Linked DNA regions of Kluyveromyces lactis. The protein of the gene in region 2 purifies or fractionates together with the protein of the main gene of each other region. This does not show direct contact. Links are inferred from orthologs where the notes say so. Each region holds a gene or a part of one and is shown on either strand. Other genes may lie near its edges. The genes, in order: DBP10 and MAK16.

Region 1 (4,041 bases), on a different chromosome or scaffold from region 2:
CCTTAACTCTAACACCTCTTTCCAAAGCAGCTTCCACTTTTTTCTTTTGGAAAGCGTAATCGTCTCTATGTTTATCAGGCAATTTAGGAGCTTTTTGAGTCTTGTGTTTGAATTTACCGCCAACCGTACGCTCCGATGGAGAAGTCGGATCAGCCAATAGATTCGATGGAATAGTGGATTCTCTTGCACCAACTTTGAGTGGAGCAATTTTTCTTGCCTTAGACCAATCTTGGAATTTTCCGGATCTGAAACTTGCAGGAATCTTTTGACCACTTTCTCCGATGATGTACTTTTTGTTGTCCAAACCTTGAGTGTTCACATATTTCTTACGCTTCTTGTCCCACTTAACCGTAGCTGTTTGCTTGTGAACTTGTACCTTGTCATCGTTGGCTAGATCAAATGCAGCATTGGAAGCATCATTTGTGAAACCAGATGATATCTGTAATTGTTTATCTTGAATGTCACTAGTTGGTGCGAAATGTGATAGATAAAAAGTTGGATCTCTGAAAGTTTTCTTCTGCTTCTTCTTAATATTTTCTTGCTCTTCTAACAAGACATCGGCATCTTCAAATTCTTTCAATACCTCATCAGGCACTGAGTAACCAACTTCGTTGTCTTCACCTTTCAAAATTTCATCTTCTATACTATGCCTCAAACCAATCATTCTCTCTTTTTCCAGAAGTTCTTGTCTTTCTTTTGCCTTCCTTTGAATTGGAGCTATTTGTCTCCTCCTTCTCTTCATTAACACAGACATTTCATCGTCTGGATTCCTTGCGAACTCGAATACAGTTTCCTTGTTATTTCTGTGTTGCAACTTAGCTAAGAAATCCAATTTCTCTTTTTCGGCGTTCTTACCGAAGTATATATTCTGTTCGTCCCATCCTGATCTGAGAATTTCCTTTGACCTTTTCATGGATTCAGCAGACGCTGGTGTCCTGGTTCTAAAGTAAAGTTTTTCGGCTTTCAGGGCAACACCTTTCACAGTATTTAACTCAAAGTCAGATTTGATCATATTGCTATAAAGGTCACCCATACCATCAATCTCAGAACGTGGACAAGCACCAAGGACCATTCTTGTGGTGTAAGAAACCTTAGGATCGGTGAAATTATTATTACCCTCAGATTCTGCCTTCTTTCTGAGTATCTGGCACGACGATTCATACATGGGTGTTAAAAGGATCTTCTTACCCAAGAATAATTCTAGATCCAAGAGATAAGGTAGTTCATTTTCAGAGACAATCGAAAAGGCCCAACCTCTATTACCAGCTCTGGCCGTTCTACCTACACGATGAATGAAAATTTTTGAAGAACCTGGCAAAGAGTAATTAATCACATTCGCTAACAAAGGAATGTCAACACCTCTGGCTGCCACATCTGTCACAACCAAGATAGATGTTAAACCAGCTCTAAAATTATAGAGCTGTTGCTTACGGGCATGTTGATTCAAAGCACCATAAATATATGATACTAGGTATCCACAGTTCTTCAATAACTGTGTGACGTATTCGACATGATGTCTTGTTGGAACGAAAACGATTGTTGCCTTTTCGGATGGCATTTCGTTCGCATTCGGTAAGCGCCTTTTGGATTTTTTAGCCTTCTTTGCCTTCTTTTTCTTTTCATCTTCGCTGTCATCACTGTCAGAATCCGCATCATTCTGCTGTTTGAGCTTCTTTATTTGGGACTCCGTGGCAACAGGCATCTTGATAGCTTCTTGTAACAGATATAATAGATTGGCTTCACGTTCATCCTTTTTTATAGATATAAATAACATCTCCAAATTTTCTGATATCTTCGTTTCAGCATCAAGTCTAACCAATACTGGGTTTGACAAGCCTGCCTTAGCAAAATCAACCAATGATGATGGCAATGTTGCCGAAAACAATAATGTTTGTCTATTAGTTGGGAATGCCACAAGCAGTTCATTCAGTTGTTCCTGGAAACCCATTTCGAATAATCTATCAGCTTCATCAAATACAACATATTCGACTGATTTCAAATCCAAGTTCATTTCAACTTTTAAATGCAAGAATCTACCTGGCGTAGCAATGACGACGTCAGGATTCCCCATCATCATACCGAATTGGTCTTCTAAAGAGTCACCACCTGTTAACAAAATAGAACGTAAATCCGAGCCTTTCGAAAACTCTTTGAAAACTCTATGAGTTTGAATGGCCAATTCTCTTGATGGTGATAAAATAACGGCTCTAACACCAATCTTGGCCGAATGGGTCTTTAATTTTTCTATCATAGGAAGCACAAAAGCAGCAGTCTTACCTGAACCGGTACGTGCCATACCGACAATATCACGCTTTTGTAAAATAAGGGGAATGGTTTTCCTTTGAATTGGTGTAGGTTGCCTGAAACCTTTCTTCGAGATATTAATCAATACTAGTTTTGAGAGACCGAAACTTGCAAACGAACCTTTCTTATGTTTAGCCGCAGCATCAGCGGTAGTGTTGAAATAATCGTTTAAGTCATCATCCGATTCATTCGTAGCCTTCTTTTCGTCGTCCGAAAGCTCAAGACTTGGGAACTTACTGTCCACAATGGGACCTGCCTTGACTTTGGCTTTCTTGTTTTGTTTCTTTGGTTTCTTCTCTTTCTCTTCCTCATCACTAGAAAACTCGATAACATCTTGAACTTCAGCTTGGAAACCAATATTGTCATTATCATCATCAGAAATGTCACTATCTTCACTATCAGCATTTAAAGCAATATCACCAGCAATGTCGAAAGCATCCTCATCTTCGGAGGAGTAATCTTCTGCTGGGAGAGCTCTTTTGCTAGAATCAACCATTACTGTTAAATTTGATTAACCTGAGTTCGATATCTAACAGTTGATTTATGGCAAACAATGATTGGCCTTATAATCAATACGATATAAAAGAATATTTAGCACTACTGATATTAATGAGTTACTATCTCATCTCATCTCATCTCATCGCATCTCTTATTTGGAAAGTGATGTATTTTCAAAATTTTCATAAGGAAAAAGAAATAGTTTTCAAGACCGGCATAAACAGAATTAAACATCAAACTGACGCTTTGTGTGAAACCAAGAAGATCAAGTGACCTAAAACAAAAACTTCAACATTATGTGTCACGAATATTACCAAACTCAAGTAAATAGAACGTCATACTCTAAAATTTTACTATAACTATTTCAACTTGTTTCCCTGAATTTCGCCTCTGTACATTATCTTGGTTTTTTTTTTTCTATGCAAGCCAATCAATTCAGTATCTGACAAAAAAAAGTACATGAAGATCACAACTATAACTTCTCAAGGTTTACTGAAATAAGTACCAGCTATATCTTGTTAAAGCACCATAAAAGTGTCCCGAAGGAGATGCACCACTTTATATAGCAGACGGACAGAAGTTGCGAGGAATAATGTCGAAAATCACTTCAAGATTCTTAGAATTATGCAAACAAAGACGGTTGCCTGGATATCATGTCCAATCCATGCCATCTAAATTTGATAATATTGTGGTAGGAATGTCTGGTGGAGTAGATTCTTCTGTATGTGCTGCATTATTCGCAGCTTACCCGAACGTTCATGGAGTATATATGCAAAATTGGGGCAAAGATCAATCATTGACTAGACCAGAGGAGGATCCATGTTATGAGAAAGAATGGAAGGATGCAGAAAAAGTAGCGAAACATTTGAACATCCCAGTGGAGTTTGTGAATTTTGAGAAAGATTATTGGCTAAATGTGTTCGCGCCTATGTTAGAACAATATAGTATGGGCTATACACCAAATCCTGACATCGGTTGCAATCAGTTTGTTAAATTCGGAAAGTTGATGGATCATCTGGATGTGAAGTTCGGTAAGAACAACTACTGGTTGGTGATGGGACATTATGCTCGAATACTACGAAGAGATAGTGGTCCAGAGAGATCTGAACCACACTTGATGCGCGGATTGTATCAACAGAAGGATCAAAGTTATTATTTATCACAAGTTTCTGTTCCTTCTTTAAATCAAATGATTTTACCAATTGGTCACTTGACGAAACCGGAAGTTAGAGAGATGGC
Region 2 (13,325 bases):
AAAATATAGATAAGCTACATCATTGGAGGAAGCTTTTAACGCTACTGGATTCTGTCCAATCGGTCTCTAATACCGGTCAAAGTATCCCATTGTTCATTCCCTTTAAAAGTACAAATGTACTGGTACGATCCATTAAACCTCTTGAATCGGATACTAATAGTAGTAAAAGCGAAGATCCACCGATACTCATTGAACCTGAAGATGATGGTTTGGGGCAAGTACCTCGTGATGAAATAGAAATGGTTGATCAAGATCCCAACGACATAAAATTGGACACGAAGGATGATAAAAAGCCAATATTCGATTACCAATACAAGGGTATGAGACTTTTCGATAAATGTATTAAAATACACGTACTTGGGCGGCCAAAACGTGGTAAAAAGAATTGAATCTACTGTGCTTTCCTTCACGTTGAATACTACTATCTAACTCATTTCAAAAACCCTTTACCGTCAAGCATGGGTAATTCGGAGATATATGAATATAAGACCTCAGGTAATTTTATAAATACTTCAAGAAAACGAGCATTGCCATCCACTCGTGTCGTTGACAAAAGAGCTCAGTGCATAAGGCATAACATGCAAAGGTTCCACATCCATCTACCCAAGTCTCGCTTGCAGACTGTCATGCAGTTGATCTGACTTAATTGACGAAGGTTCTCCATTAACATGAAAAAAAAAATAATTAGTCACATTTATCAGATCAATAGAACCGTTCAAAGTAGTTAGCCAAAGGTTTGAATAACAGTGTAAAGACAGTATAACTCGTTATAGGGTGATCATAGTACTGCTAATTGTGACATGTCAGTTTCTGAATCCATTGCGAAGACCGCTCGTGCAGCCGGCAATATATTGAAAACGTTAAGTGATGAGGAACGTTCTTCCATTCTATATAAAATTCATGATGGTTTAAAGGCGAATGCGGCATCTATTGAGGCTGCTAATAAACTAGATTTGGAACAGGCTAAAAGCACTAATCTTTCGGACTCTCTTGTGAAAAGATTGGATTTGTTCAAAGGAGATAAATTTGAAACTATGCTACAAGGTATTGTTGATGTTGCCAATTTGCAGGATCCTGTTGGGAAAGTGAACTTCGCTAGGGAAATTGATGAGAATTTGACTTTATACCAAATTACTGCCCCAGTTGGTGTATTATTGGTTATTTTCGAATCGAGACCAGAAGTCATTGCCAATATTACAGCTTTATCCATCAAATCAGGTAATGCAGCAATTTTGAAAGGTGGTAAGGAATCCTTGAACACGTTCAAAGAAATGTCCCGTATCGTGAATGACGTCGTCGAGCAAAACGAAAAGACGACCCATGTTCCAGTTGGTGCCGTTCAGTTGATCGAAACCAGAGAAGATGTCTCTGACCTCTTGCAACAGGATGAATATATTGATTTGGTTATCCCTCGTGGTTCAAATGCCTTAGTTAGACAGATCAAATCGTCCACCAAGATTCCAGTGTTAGGTCATGCAGACGGTATTTGTTCAATCTACGTGGACGAATCTGCCGATATTGGAAAGGCTAAAAGAATTCTTGTTGATGCCAAAACTAACTATCCAGCTGGTTGTAACGCTGTAGAAACTCTACTAATCAATCCTAAATTACAGCACTGGTGGGAGGTGCTAAATTCTTTAATTGAAAATGGTGTAACTTTGCATGTTTCAAAAGAAGTAAAGAAGCAATATAAGGAGCACAACAGTACATCAGATCATATTGTGGATTTAGACGAGTCCAAAGACTTCGACAAGGAATTCTTGTCGTTGGATATTGCAGTTGCATTCGTTGAATCTACAGAAGCAGCTGTTTTGCACATCAATACACACTCTTCCAAGCATACTGATGCTATTGTGACTGAAAACTCTGAAAATGCTGAATATTTCTTGAAAGCTGTTGATTCATCGAGCGTATACTGGAATGCATCCACCAGATTTGCAGACGGGTTTAGATACGGATTTGGAACCGAAGTTGGTATTTCTACTTCGAAGATCCATGCCCGAGGCCCTGTGGGACTCGATGGCCTTGTGACTTATCAGTATCAACTAAGAGGTAATGGACAAATTGCCAGTGATTATCTAGGGGCCGGAGGTAAGAAAGCCTTCGTTCACAAAGACCTTGATGTAAAGAGCATTTCTATCTGAAATACCAACATTATTTTCAAACTACTAAGTACGCATCTATATACATAATTACAACGTTACTGACTTCTTGACTCAAACATCCTTGAAAGGATTGGTGGATTCGAACGATTGGCGAAGACCCACATTGGAAGAGGGTTCGACTTGAGCCGGAGTATCATTGAAGGGATTTAGAGATGCATCGGCCAGTTCACCATGTACACCCCTCTTTAATGTGGTATCATACATTCTGATGATCCTATCTTGTCCACCCTCTTCGCTTTGCGAGAATGCAAAACCTCTTTGCTTTTTCATTCTTTGCACCTGTCTGACCTTTCTTATGGCCTTTTGAAATTGTTCCATTCTAGGTCTGTAATCACTGATATTGTACTTCTGCATTTCCTGAACGACATGATATGATTCAGGTGAATACGTCCTTTTATAATATTTCCATACGAAATCTCTCAAAAGAGCAAATACTGGCAATACGATGCACATCAACCAAAAGGTTGCTGAGCCATAAACATGGCCGATGATACCATAATACTCCTTGGAGACATTAACTCTTGGGAAAACAGCACTGTAGAAAGGGAAAAACAAGAGCCATATTACAAGAGAGCCAGGTATAGCCACCAACGTAAATTTCGTCCATTGACTCGTAATTAATGCAGCCTTGCCTAACACAATTATGATACTGGTGGTATAGATACCCACGCCCCAAACCCAGTGATCTGCCGTTTCGCCACCCATGTTCAAACAGTTACCATAACGATAAAATAGTACTGATCCAATGAAAACAACTGCGGAATGATAGAAACCATTCAACACCCAGCCCCAAAAGATAGTAACGGAAAAGAACTGACCTTTTTGTCCTAGCTTGTATAACTGTGGATAACGATCTAAAAGTCTGCTAGTCACAAATTGGTCAAAGATTCCTATAACGAACGGTGGCATCACAGTAAAGAAGACGTTATAAAACGTGAGTGTCCAAGATTCCATAATAGATTGACCTGAGAAAGCATTCGCGAACACGTACCAAAACTGTGTCATATACAATGCCATGTTTTTGTAAAATGAGTATAAAATGGCCAATGAAATTCTTTGATATGACCACGATCCATGCACTATTAATAATTTTCTTAAGAACCTAAACTGACCAATGGCGAAATCAGCCGATCTCGCTGCCTGCATACCTTCCATACCACTTATGCCTACACCTACGTGAGCAGCTTGAATCATACTCACATCATTGGCACCATCACCAATTGCCAATAACAATGAAGATGTTTTTCTCTTCACCATTTTTACAACGAGAGCCTTTTGCAATGGAGACACTCTACAGCAAATAACGGCCTTACATAGCTTACCAATTGTCAAAAACTGATCTTCAAGATCTTCCTCTAAAGCATATCCTAATGATTTACCATCAATCACTAAAGCTAACGAGTTCATATCCTGCTGTGAAATTTGATGTGACTCGATGGCATTCAACTTACTTTGGAGATTCGTACGCGTATCCTCCTTAGTTTCTTCGTTTACGATCAACAAATTCATATCTTCACTTAATAGACGACAACTCATACCAATATTGATTGCAGTTTCCTGTCTATCACCAGTTAAGACCCAAACTTTCAATCCGGCCTCTTGTAAATGGTGAATTGTTTCTGGAACACCTTCTTGAAGTTTGTCTTCGATAGCTGTAGCACCCAAAAAGAAAAGGTCGTGTTCAATCAGTTCGGCTGCCCTATCCAACTCTTCAGTTCTATCCTTCATAGTTGTGGATGCTGCTTCATATATTTTACTCCATTCTTCATACTCCTTTTCCGGAATTGTCCTACTAGCGATACACAAAGTCCTTAAACCTTCAGCAGCATAATCCTCCAAATGTCTCAAGGTTGATTGAACGTATGGATTAAATTCACTATCAAGCCTCTCGAGGATCACGGTATCTGCACCTTTACAGAATAATTTAATCGAACCATCAGGCATTCTGAAAATGGCGCTCATACGTTTCCTAGTGGAGTTAAACTCACAAATGTTGAGCAATTGATATTCAAGCTGTTCACTGAATGGGGTTGAAATGGAGACCGAGTTAGGTCTACGGATATCGAATCTGAAGCCTAAGTCTGCTGCACCTTGTACCAATGCCCCCTCATCAGGGGAAGCTGCTTGATATTTGATTGTTCCGTCACTTTGTGTCTCTGGGATCACAGTATGACAAGTAGCTAATAAGGTTAAAAATTCAATGACAATGCCTGCTTCATCATCCTCAGGATCTGTCATTTTATCCTTTAGACTTTCAAAGGAATGGAAACCTATCTCAATTCCATCTTCTACAGTTGCACGTCTATCTTCAGGAATAGTTTCAATATAGCACCTGCCAGCAATAGAAACAGACTTGAATTCCATTACATTTCTCGTCAAAGTACCAGTTTTATCACTGAATATGTACTCAATTTGACCCAATTCTTCTACCAAGGATGACGTTCTAACAACGGTAGGTGTATCTGATTCCTCGTGATATAAGTCCAAGTCTGAACCTATCATATAAGCTTGGTAGTACTTTATCATTTCAACTGTAACAAATAAGGAAATGGGAACAAGGTTAGAGAATAAAATCCAGAAAGTTAGTATGTCTTTGAAAAACAAGCCAGCTTTATTAGTACCTTCGATATATAAATATCCGAGGTGAGCAGAATCCCTTTTCGTCATAATGACATTACCAGTGGAGGAAATCAAAGCTAGAACAATTAAGACACCAAACAAGGCAAGAATTTGCATATTAATGACTCTTTCCACAGCAGTACGTTTAATTGGAGTCGCAGTGGCATTTCTCATCAATTTGGTTTCGTGACCAGTGAAAACTATGAGGCCAAAAATCCAAGCAGTATTTCTCAACGTAGCACCTCTCAACAGCATTTGATCCGGAGATAGAGGGAAAGTGCTACCATTTAGCGTCATTGTACCTTCATAAGTATATAAACTGGAATTTGGGTGCTCTGACTGTACCCTTCCATGAAGTTTACAGAGAGCTTTTTCATCGAGGTAGTTTGCTGTTTCTTGTCTCGCCTGTTTAATCTTTAAATTGGTTTCACCATCGAGATTGGCTGTTTCAATGTAGCATAACCCTTCTGGTTCCGAAGAGGAAAGAATGATCAAATCAGCAGGAATTGCTTCCTCAGATCTAACTCTTATAATATCACCAACTGCTATATCAATCCACTTTTTCCTCACAAACTCTCCAGATCTTTCGTCCAAAACATCACACAGGGAATGATTCAATTCCTTATCAGCATTCGATCTTTTCAAATCTTCGACACTTTCTTTAACTGCAGAAACAATTAACACTACTAATAGTGTACCAATGGTCGTATATCTATTGGTAGGTGTAACATTAGGTACTTGCTGGATAATGGAGGTGAATAAGAAGAACAAATTCGCGTATTTGGAGAATTCTTGAAACAAAAACTTTGGCAAGAAAGTTGCAGCGTTATATTTCGTCGTAGAGATGTGATTATCTCTGTAGCCGAAACGGCTATTTGCTGAACTATCGTTGAGTAAAATCGTTCTTGGCTCGTCAGACTTACAAGAGGTTTTCCCTTTTCTGAGAATATACCTGTTGAACAAAACTTTGATGTCAAACTTCCTCGTAGAGCTTTCATACCTATTAGTGTTGCTCTGATCGTAGTCATTCATTTCGAAACTTTGGAATTGACCCTTATGTCCACCATTCATACCGACTGCACTTTTCACATTGCTCATAAATCTATTGAACCCACTTGGCTGAGGTAAGACACTATTCCTAGGGTTAGTGTCTGCAAAGGATGCTGAATAACGGTCATTGAAAGGATTTTCAATGTCGTTCTCTATGTTGTCACTGAGGTCAATGGTCTCTTGTGGGAGTAAGCCTCTCTGTGAGGTATCCATTCCTGAATCTATTACTGCACTTGGGCTGTTCCTTCTTGGACTATCCCGTAAATCCGGGGTGTAGCTATCATCAAGAAAGTCAACATCAAACAACGCATCGCTGTCGCCATGCTTAGTTGAGCCACTCATTGGAAAGCAGGTTGATCGGTGTGTCGCTCCTCTCTGGCTCTGTATCTCCCTTTCAAAGTACTTGGGTTTCATGGTGCAAATGGTTTACGAATCTTTCTGTTTAATGTGTCCTAATGGGATTTTCCGGTATAATTTACAAAGAAAAAACTGTCAGCATGGAAACAATATTTCCACGTGACTGCTATTTCGAATGCATTATTTGGGTACAGTATAACAAAATGAAGGGAAAGGGGACATACTATTGATGGTGAGATGCTATTGTAAGTGTATATAATTATTAACTATTGCCTTTGCTTCTTTATCGTAGTTGGAAATTTATCTTCAATAAATATAATAATATGTCAAATTTAATAGTATACAAATGTGGTCATGACGAGCTCTGTTTTTCAGAAACGCATCATTGTGCAAGTTCTTGTTGGTTGGAATTTAGTTCCTGTTCATATTCGATTTCAACCTTAGGATGTCTCTTTCTGGTTTGTGTAGATTTCTTTTGTCTCTTAGATGGGTTTTCTTCTTCATCGCTATCTTCGTCGCTACTGTCTTCGTCACTGTCCTCATCACTGCTGTAATCAGATGTATCAGAACCACCGAGCCATTTTTCTAAATCTTCCATATCTACCATCTCATCCTCAGCGTCTTCATCTTCTACGAATTCGACTTCTCCCTCATCGCTTTCTTCTTCCTCATCCCAATCGTTTTCTTCTTCATCCAAGTCCTCGTCTTCTACACGTCCCATGACCTTCTTCCAGATCTTTTCATCCACATTCAAAGGCTTATCACCATACACACCACTCTTCAATCTCTCAAGCAATTCTTTTTCGATAGCCTTTTCAATCTTAGCGGCTGATAATGCCTTACGTTCTCGGTTCTCTTCTCTTCTTTTCACCTTAGGAGCAATACCGACATAATGTCTCTCCTCCTCTCTCAATGCCAAACGTCTCTCTGTAATCATCACTTGTGTAAGCTTTGTCATCCTTTGCTTACACTTATGAATTAAGAACTTGTTCCAATACAGTAAATGTTCATCGATCTGTGCTAATGCCTTTGTGTAATTCTTAGATAGTTTCACTCTTTCCCACAATTTAGCAGGCGTGTGAGCTCTTTCCGCGGTCTTCATGTACAAGTAAAGTGTTCCGTCCACGTTCTTTACAGTGGCATATTTACTATTTGCCAAAGGACACGCTTGTCTCGAACATAAACCTGTTACGTTGTATTCATTTCTACAGAAGTTCTGTCCCTTATCAGTTTTGACTTTGTACGCACAAAAGTGCTGGTTGATAACCTGCCAAATGATCTCGTCAGACATCTGCTAATGTTCAGTCAATCCTACAGATACTGGTTTATGCTTAGTATGAGTTTATTTAAATTGGTTATGACTATCGCTAAGTTTACTTGCTATTCCGCTAGTCGCTGCTTCTTTCATTTCATCTCATCTCATCGCATCGCATCGATATTTTTCAGTTCTCAAAAATTTTCAGGCAGAAAGAGAAAAAAGAAATGGATTACTAAATTTTTAGTCACATGACCAATGATATTTTATTGTTATAATCGGAAACTTAATCAAGAGTCGGAATATGCATGATTAGATCTAAAGAGATTAACCTTCATTCAAATATGTTCGAAAAAAATGTGGATGAAACTATTTGAAACTGATAAAATCGTGTGTTGATATATATATTATATGAGGTGAAATGAACTGAGACTAACTAGTTCTATGTCAAATACTTTACTCGACATTAAAGAATTAAATTGGGGATTTATGTGAAATTGAATTGATTTCGTCATGGGACAATGATGTGATGTAAACACACTTGCTTAACAACTCATGGTCAATATCAATGTTGTAAAATTTGGACCATTGCATCTTCTGTACGAAGTTTTTCACTATTTGAACATTTGTTTGGAATTTGTTGTAATTTAGCACTTCGTCATGTACAATCCAGGTACGTTTCTCAATGTTTAAAGATAGATCCGATAAGTATACCACGATAAATGGAATGCATCCAGAAAGTGGTTCGACTTCGTCTATTAATTGTCTAATGTTACTGTAATTCTTTTCCAGGGATGGTATGGCCTTCAACGTTTCCCAAGTCAATAGATCGCCTGGTTCGACAAGTCTCCATGTTTCAGTGAATTTCTGAACGACAATGGAGTTTAATGCAAGGATGATTTCCATCAAAGTATTGTAATTTTGTAACTCTTTACAGTGTTCGGCTATGTGAATGAATCTTTGGATCGTGTTCCTTCTCAACCTTATGTCCTGAGTCATTACGATTTCAGAAATGATCCAATCCACGGTCAAGTTGAACCTTGCTATGGCTAAATCGATACCCGACAAGTTTTCGTTCTGTACCAATAATTGCAGCCAACTGGTAAATTGTGGAAGTTGTTCACTCATTGTCAAATCCAATAGATCTTTCCAATCAACTTCAGATAGAATTTCCTTTTCAATCAAGGTCAATTGGTTTGCCACAGATTTAGAATCATACATCAGAATGAACGGGATATGTTGCTCTAAATTGTCTATTTTAAGCCTTGAATCAGTTAATGTGTACTGGTTTAACAAATTACGAATTTGTTCATCAGTATTTTCCAATCTGGTGCAGGAGGAGTCTTTGTCAATGAGTGAATCACGAACGCTAAAATCGATCATTGTGTTGCGTCTTCTCTGTATGAACATGGATTGCCTTTTGCGAGCGCTTTCAGGAAGAGCTGCAGTTTGTACGATTTGGAAATTTTCAACTTCCCGGGCTAATTCGCTGTTAATTGATGGACTTTTATCATCTATTTCCTTTTCCCCTTTATCATACGTCCCTTCTAATTTCATTAAAGCAAGATTAACAGGATCCATAGAAGTATCAGCTGTGTCGTCAATACCATTCATAATGTCCTCTAGTTTCTTTTTATCAATTCCATGATCTTTATTTTCATTATCCTGAGTAGCAATCTCCTCTTCATCTAACGACGTTTGCTCATCAGTTGACTGGTCAATAAACTGTTGTTTTAAATCGTCGAGGTTCTTTTCTGGGGATGCAAAATCTATGCTATCAGTGTCTGGGGAAAACAGGTATTTGTTATTCTCTGGATTCAAGTTTTCAACGTCTTCCTCGAAAATGTCATTAGTTGCCTGTTTTTCTAGATGATATTTCTCTCTCAGAGTTGTGGATTGTGCGCGATTTGGTTTACTAGCAATCGACGTGAGATCAAAGGATTCTTCTGAATCACGACTTCCTATTGACTTTATACTTGGAGTCTCAGAAAGCTTTGAAATAGGTTGTTTGCATAATACTGGCGTAGGGACATCGGGATGCTCCGATTTCTCTTGAATGACATCAACTTCTTTGATTACCAATTTTTGGGGTGAAGCTTGGGCAGAACTAAACAGCAAATTTGTGGAGATGCTTTGAGAGTCCGAGTCGTTACATACTGAACCTCGGCTGACTGTAAACTTTCTGTCATTATCATTTAGTAAGAGAGATGTCGTCTCTTCTAATTCCGATATAATGTCCTGGTTTGCAGCCAAAGCTTTATCTCTTTCGATAAAAACTTCATTGCCCAAAATGAGAGGAGATTTAGGGAGAATGGACCTCAAAGAGTTGGGAGAGGCAACACTGTAGTTTCTTGTTATACTAATTCTGCCACTTGTGGGTCTTCTAATTTGGGCGTTGTTTTGACATTGGGTATCAATTTCAGACGTACTTTCTTCATATGCAGTTATTAACGATGCAATATCTTCATTTTCGTTTTCATACTCATCTTGGATAGCATTATCATTTGCATCACTTTCCATTGAAGTTGCACTCGTCTCCGTTGCTTCTCTATTTTGTGGTGAACAGGATCTGTCATCTGTCGAATCAGATTTCTCGAAATTGAACCTACGAAGGTCATTAACATTCAGCTTTCTTTTCAAAGTTGGGGCAGATTCCATGAAAATATTACTACTCCCTTTATGTTGACTCAAGATATTCCCAGAAGATGAAATATCTGAAAATGCAGAGTCATAAGTGACAATAGAAGTAATAGAGTCTCTTTCACCGTTATATTCTCCTATGTTGTTCAGGTTATTTGCAAGTATGGCCTTCTTTGTAGGAGAGTTCCTTGTCGGATCATGGAAAACCAATCTTTTTGGACTGCTGTTGTCATTGGTATTAGGTAGTCCCATTAAGGCATTCGTGATGCTGTATCTAGAATTATTGTAAGAGTACAGCATTGGTGCAGAGTTTCTTATATTTTTCCTCTCAAGGGCCGAGGTTGAAGGAGATAACAGATGGGTAGTTGACTTGTTTGTTCTGACATTCAAAGTTTTAGATAGCGATATCACTGAGTTAGCGATTGATGAAACAGTTTTGTAAAGGTTAAGATTATCAATAACACTATAATCCTGCGATTCATCCTCATTTGTTTCCAACTTAGATATTTCAGTGGTTAGTTTTTTAGCTTCTAATTTTGCTAAAAGATCACTTTCCACAGAAACAAGATATTCTACCTCATCAATAGTTCTTGCACTCAAAATATCAAACATAGAAGAAAGCGAATCGGGCAATGGATTCGCATGATTGTCCAATGAAGAAATGGAAAATACATATTTTATTAGATTTTCAACCCTTGGTGGGTTTTGGACAGGATTTACAGTTGGTTTTCTTTGATGATTTAATTTCCATTTAGACAATAGACCCAGTATTCCTTTGTGATTTGTGTTATTGCCATTTACGGTATTCGTCGAATCTGAGCCATTAGATTGTTCTGGAAGATCTGTTTCCATGTACGACGTCTGCAAGATAAACTCTATATTCTTCGCTGGTGTTGGTGGGACGAAGATGTCCACTGAAGGGGTTGAAGGGTATTCCAAATCTTTCATCATATAAGAAACGTTAGTGACCCTGGACAACTGCGGTAGGATATGTTTGTTATCTTTCGAATTCTTGGGGTCTGTTATTTCTCTCTCCTGTTTCGGAGTGGCCTCTGGCGAGACTCCTGAAGCCGTTAGTTTTTCGTTAATAGAAAGTCCGTTGGAAGCATTTTCTGGGAACAAAAGCATTGATCCAGTTCTCTGTTTGATACGTGTGCTCTGTTTCTTGGATTCATCTTCTGATTGTTGTGGTAGAGGTATCTTCTCTCTGGTGTGCAATAACGAGAGTAAGGATTCGTTCCTGAGTACCGGGTTGTTTATATTTTGTAATGCAATAAAGCTAAGTCGCTTCCCCTTCGTGCTTCCTTCACCTGTTTCCGAAGAAGAACCAGACGGTACGTCCTCTATTTCCCACTTGAGCCAATCATCGCGCGATACAACGTTATTTTCCACTATGAGATTTTCTAAATCCTCCCACATAATTTGAACGTTCTGAACCCATAATTTTTTTAAACTAATTATAATATTGTCCAGGAACCTGTCAACTGGAGAGTATCCGTTGATGAATTGAAGGAATTGACGACGCAACGACGTGTCGACGACAAAATCTTGTGCGAAATAGTTAGACAGCCAATGCCTTACCAGCACAAACATCCGTACCAGTATAACCTCGGATGTAATTTTCTCTTGGGAACTAGGGTCAGATTGACGCAAGTCAATCGCCCATTGGAATCTCTCTTGAATTAGATCCAGCAATTTCTGAGAACTCATGAAATTTCTGTAGACTAGAAAGAAATCCGTCAGCATTGAATAGTCGACTTTATCTAGCGGCGATGAGAGCTGCACTAGAAGTGCAGGAAGCGTACATTTAAGAATTCGTACTGTACCATCGCGTAAATCTACAGTCAGTACACTTTCACTAGGCACAGGGTACAATTCAGGTCGACTAAATAACGGCACAACGTTTTCGTCAGCCTTTTCAACGACCTCAGACATAATTTCTACTTCACTAGAGTTCTCTCCTCACTAGGCTCTTCTTCTGTACTTTCTTCTTCAAATTGTAAAAACAGATCAACGGTGAAAAGAAAAGATAAACAGTTCTTGTGGTTCAATGTTCGATGCGTTATACCAAAACAGGAAAATATTGGTAAAACTAATCCAAACACTAGGCGGGTGCCTCAAAAAATGATACGCTCACTCCACTCTTTTTCCCTTGTTTTTTTCCTTGTCTATCTTGAATCTCTTTCCCACTTTCGATTCTTTACTAAAAAAACATATTATTGATATTTTGGTTCTCATGACAGAATCACCATTGTTTATGTTCATTTTTCACAGAATTTCGCCGTATCATCGGTGCATTTGAGGTTTGTAGAATGCCTTTCGAGAAGTTTTGAGTTGAAGTCTGGGTAATGAAAAACATTTCCCAGTCACGTGGATGGAAACTGGATTGTATATCTTTGTCCACGTGACTGATATTTTCCCCATGCTCACTTCTGGTTCTCTTTCCCTCGTTTTGAATTTTTTTTTTTTTGGGTTGTCAAATTCCCGCCGCGCATTCTCCGGAATAAATGGTTTAGGTTGTTATCTTATCAATCCCTTTGAAGAAACAGATGATTAAACGAAGTGCAACCATCATGAATGCAGGGTTATACCTTTTTTGCCGGGCAGAATTTAGAGGTAACAGTGAGACAGCAATAGGATAACTTGTTAAACTGAACTGTCCGGTTTTTTCCTTTCAAATGGGGACCTCACAAGCAATAAAAGTCCGTCATAATAAGACCGTTTTCAGACAACAGGGCCCAAGATAAGGAGAAACAGCCTGGTTGTAGTTGGAAATATGTAATCGGTATAGTTTTTCAGACCTTCATGTGGAATCCTGATATGGGATTCGAGGGGACAGCGAGTTGCCTATTTGGGAATTGAACAGTTCTTCATGCACATGCTTTCTTTCATGCTGATGTGAGCACGAGTGGTAGTTTGACCGGCCCCTGAGATCGCTGTTGATTGCATAACAGTGTTTTAAGGTTATAATGGTCGTTTGTTGCTAGCAGCGTGCGTATTTTCAGTTTGTTCCCCTAATTATTTCTTGTTCCAGTGTCAGATAGGGTTTGAATTTTGAGCAGTCGCCTGTTATCTGCTTATGCATTTTCGTAGAGTAACAGTGTTACCTTAATCTCGGGAATGATATTCGAGGGTGATAACGGACCTGTGATCAAACACTTAAGTTTTAGTTTAGTACAACCACAAAGGTTAAAGTTCAATCGCTCTTCACTTCCAATCATAGTGATTTTTGTTTGTTG

What was found.
Region 1: the proteins of MAK16 (region 2) and DBP10 purify together in Saccharomyces cerevisiae (affinity purification with mass spectrometry; 3 studies listed by BioGRID). This does not show direct contact. The link is inferred for Kluyveromyces lactis from reciprocal best matches to the Saccharomyces cerevisiae genes MAK16 and DBP10.

Annotation. Positions count from the first base shown.
Region 1 is NC_006042.1:2,294,830-2,298,870, forward strand, and holds the start of DBP10 (ATP-dependent RNA helicase DBP10), read right to left. Parts: upstream 2,801-4,041; coding exon 1-2,800. Other genes in the region: SLM3 (tRNA-5-taurinomethyluridine 2-sulfurtransferase), read left to right, coding at 3,395-4,041. UniProt on the Saccharomyces cerevisiae protein: ATP-binding RNA helicase involved in the biogenesis of 60S ribosomal subunits and is required for the normal formation of 25S and 5.8S rRNAs.
Region 2 is NC_006037.1:353,408-366,732, forward strand, and holds MAK16 (ribosome biosynthesis protein MAK16), read right to left. Parts: upstream 7,483-13,325; coding exon 6,574-7,482; downstream 1-6,573. Other genes in the region: DNA-binding protein SAW1, read left to right, coding at 1-389; PRO2 (glutamate-5-semialdehyde dehydrogenase), read left to right, coding at 801-2,144; aminophospholipid-translocating P4-type ATPase DRS2, read right to left, coding at 2,217-6,248; mitotic regulator LTE1, read right to left, coding at 7,921-12,021.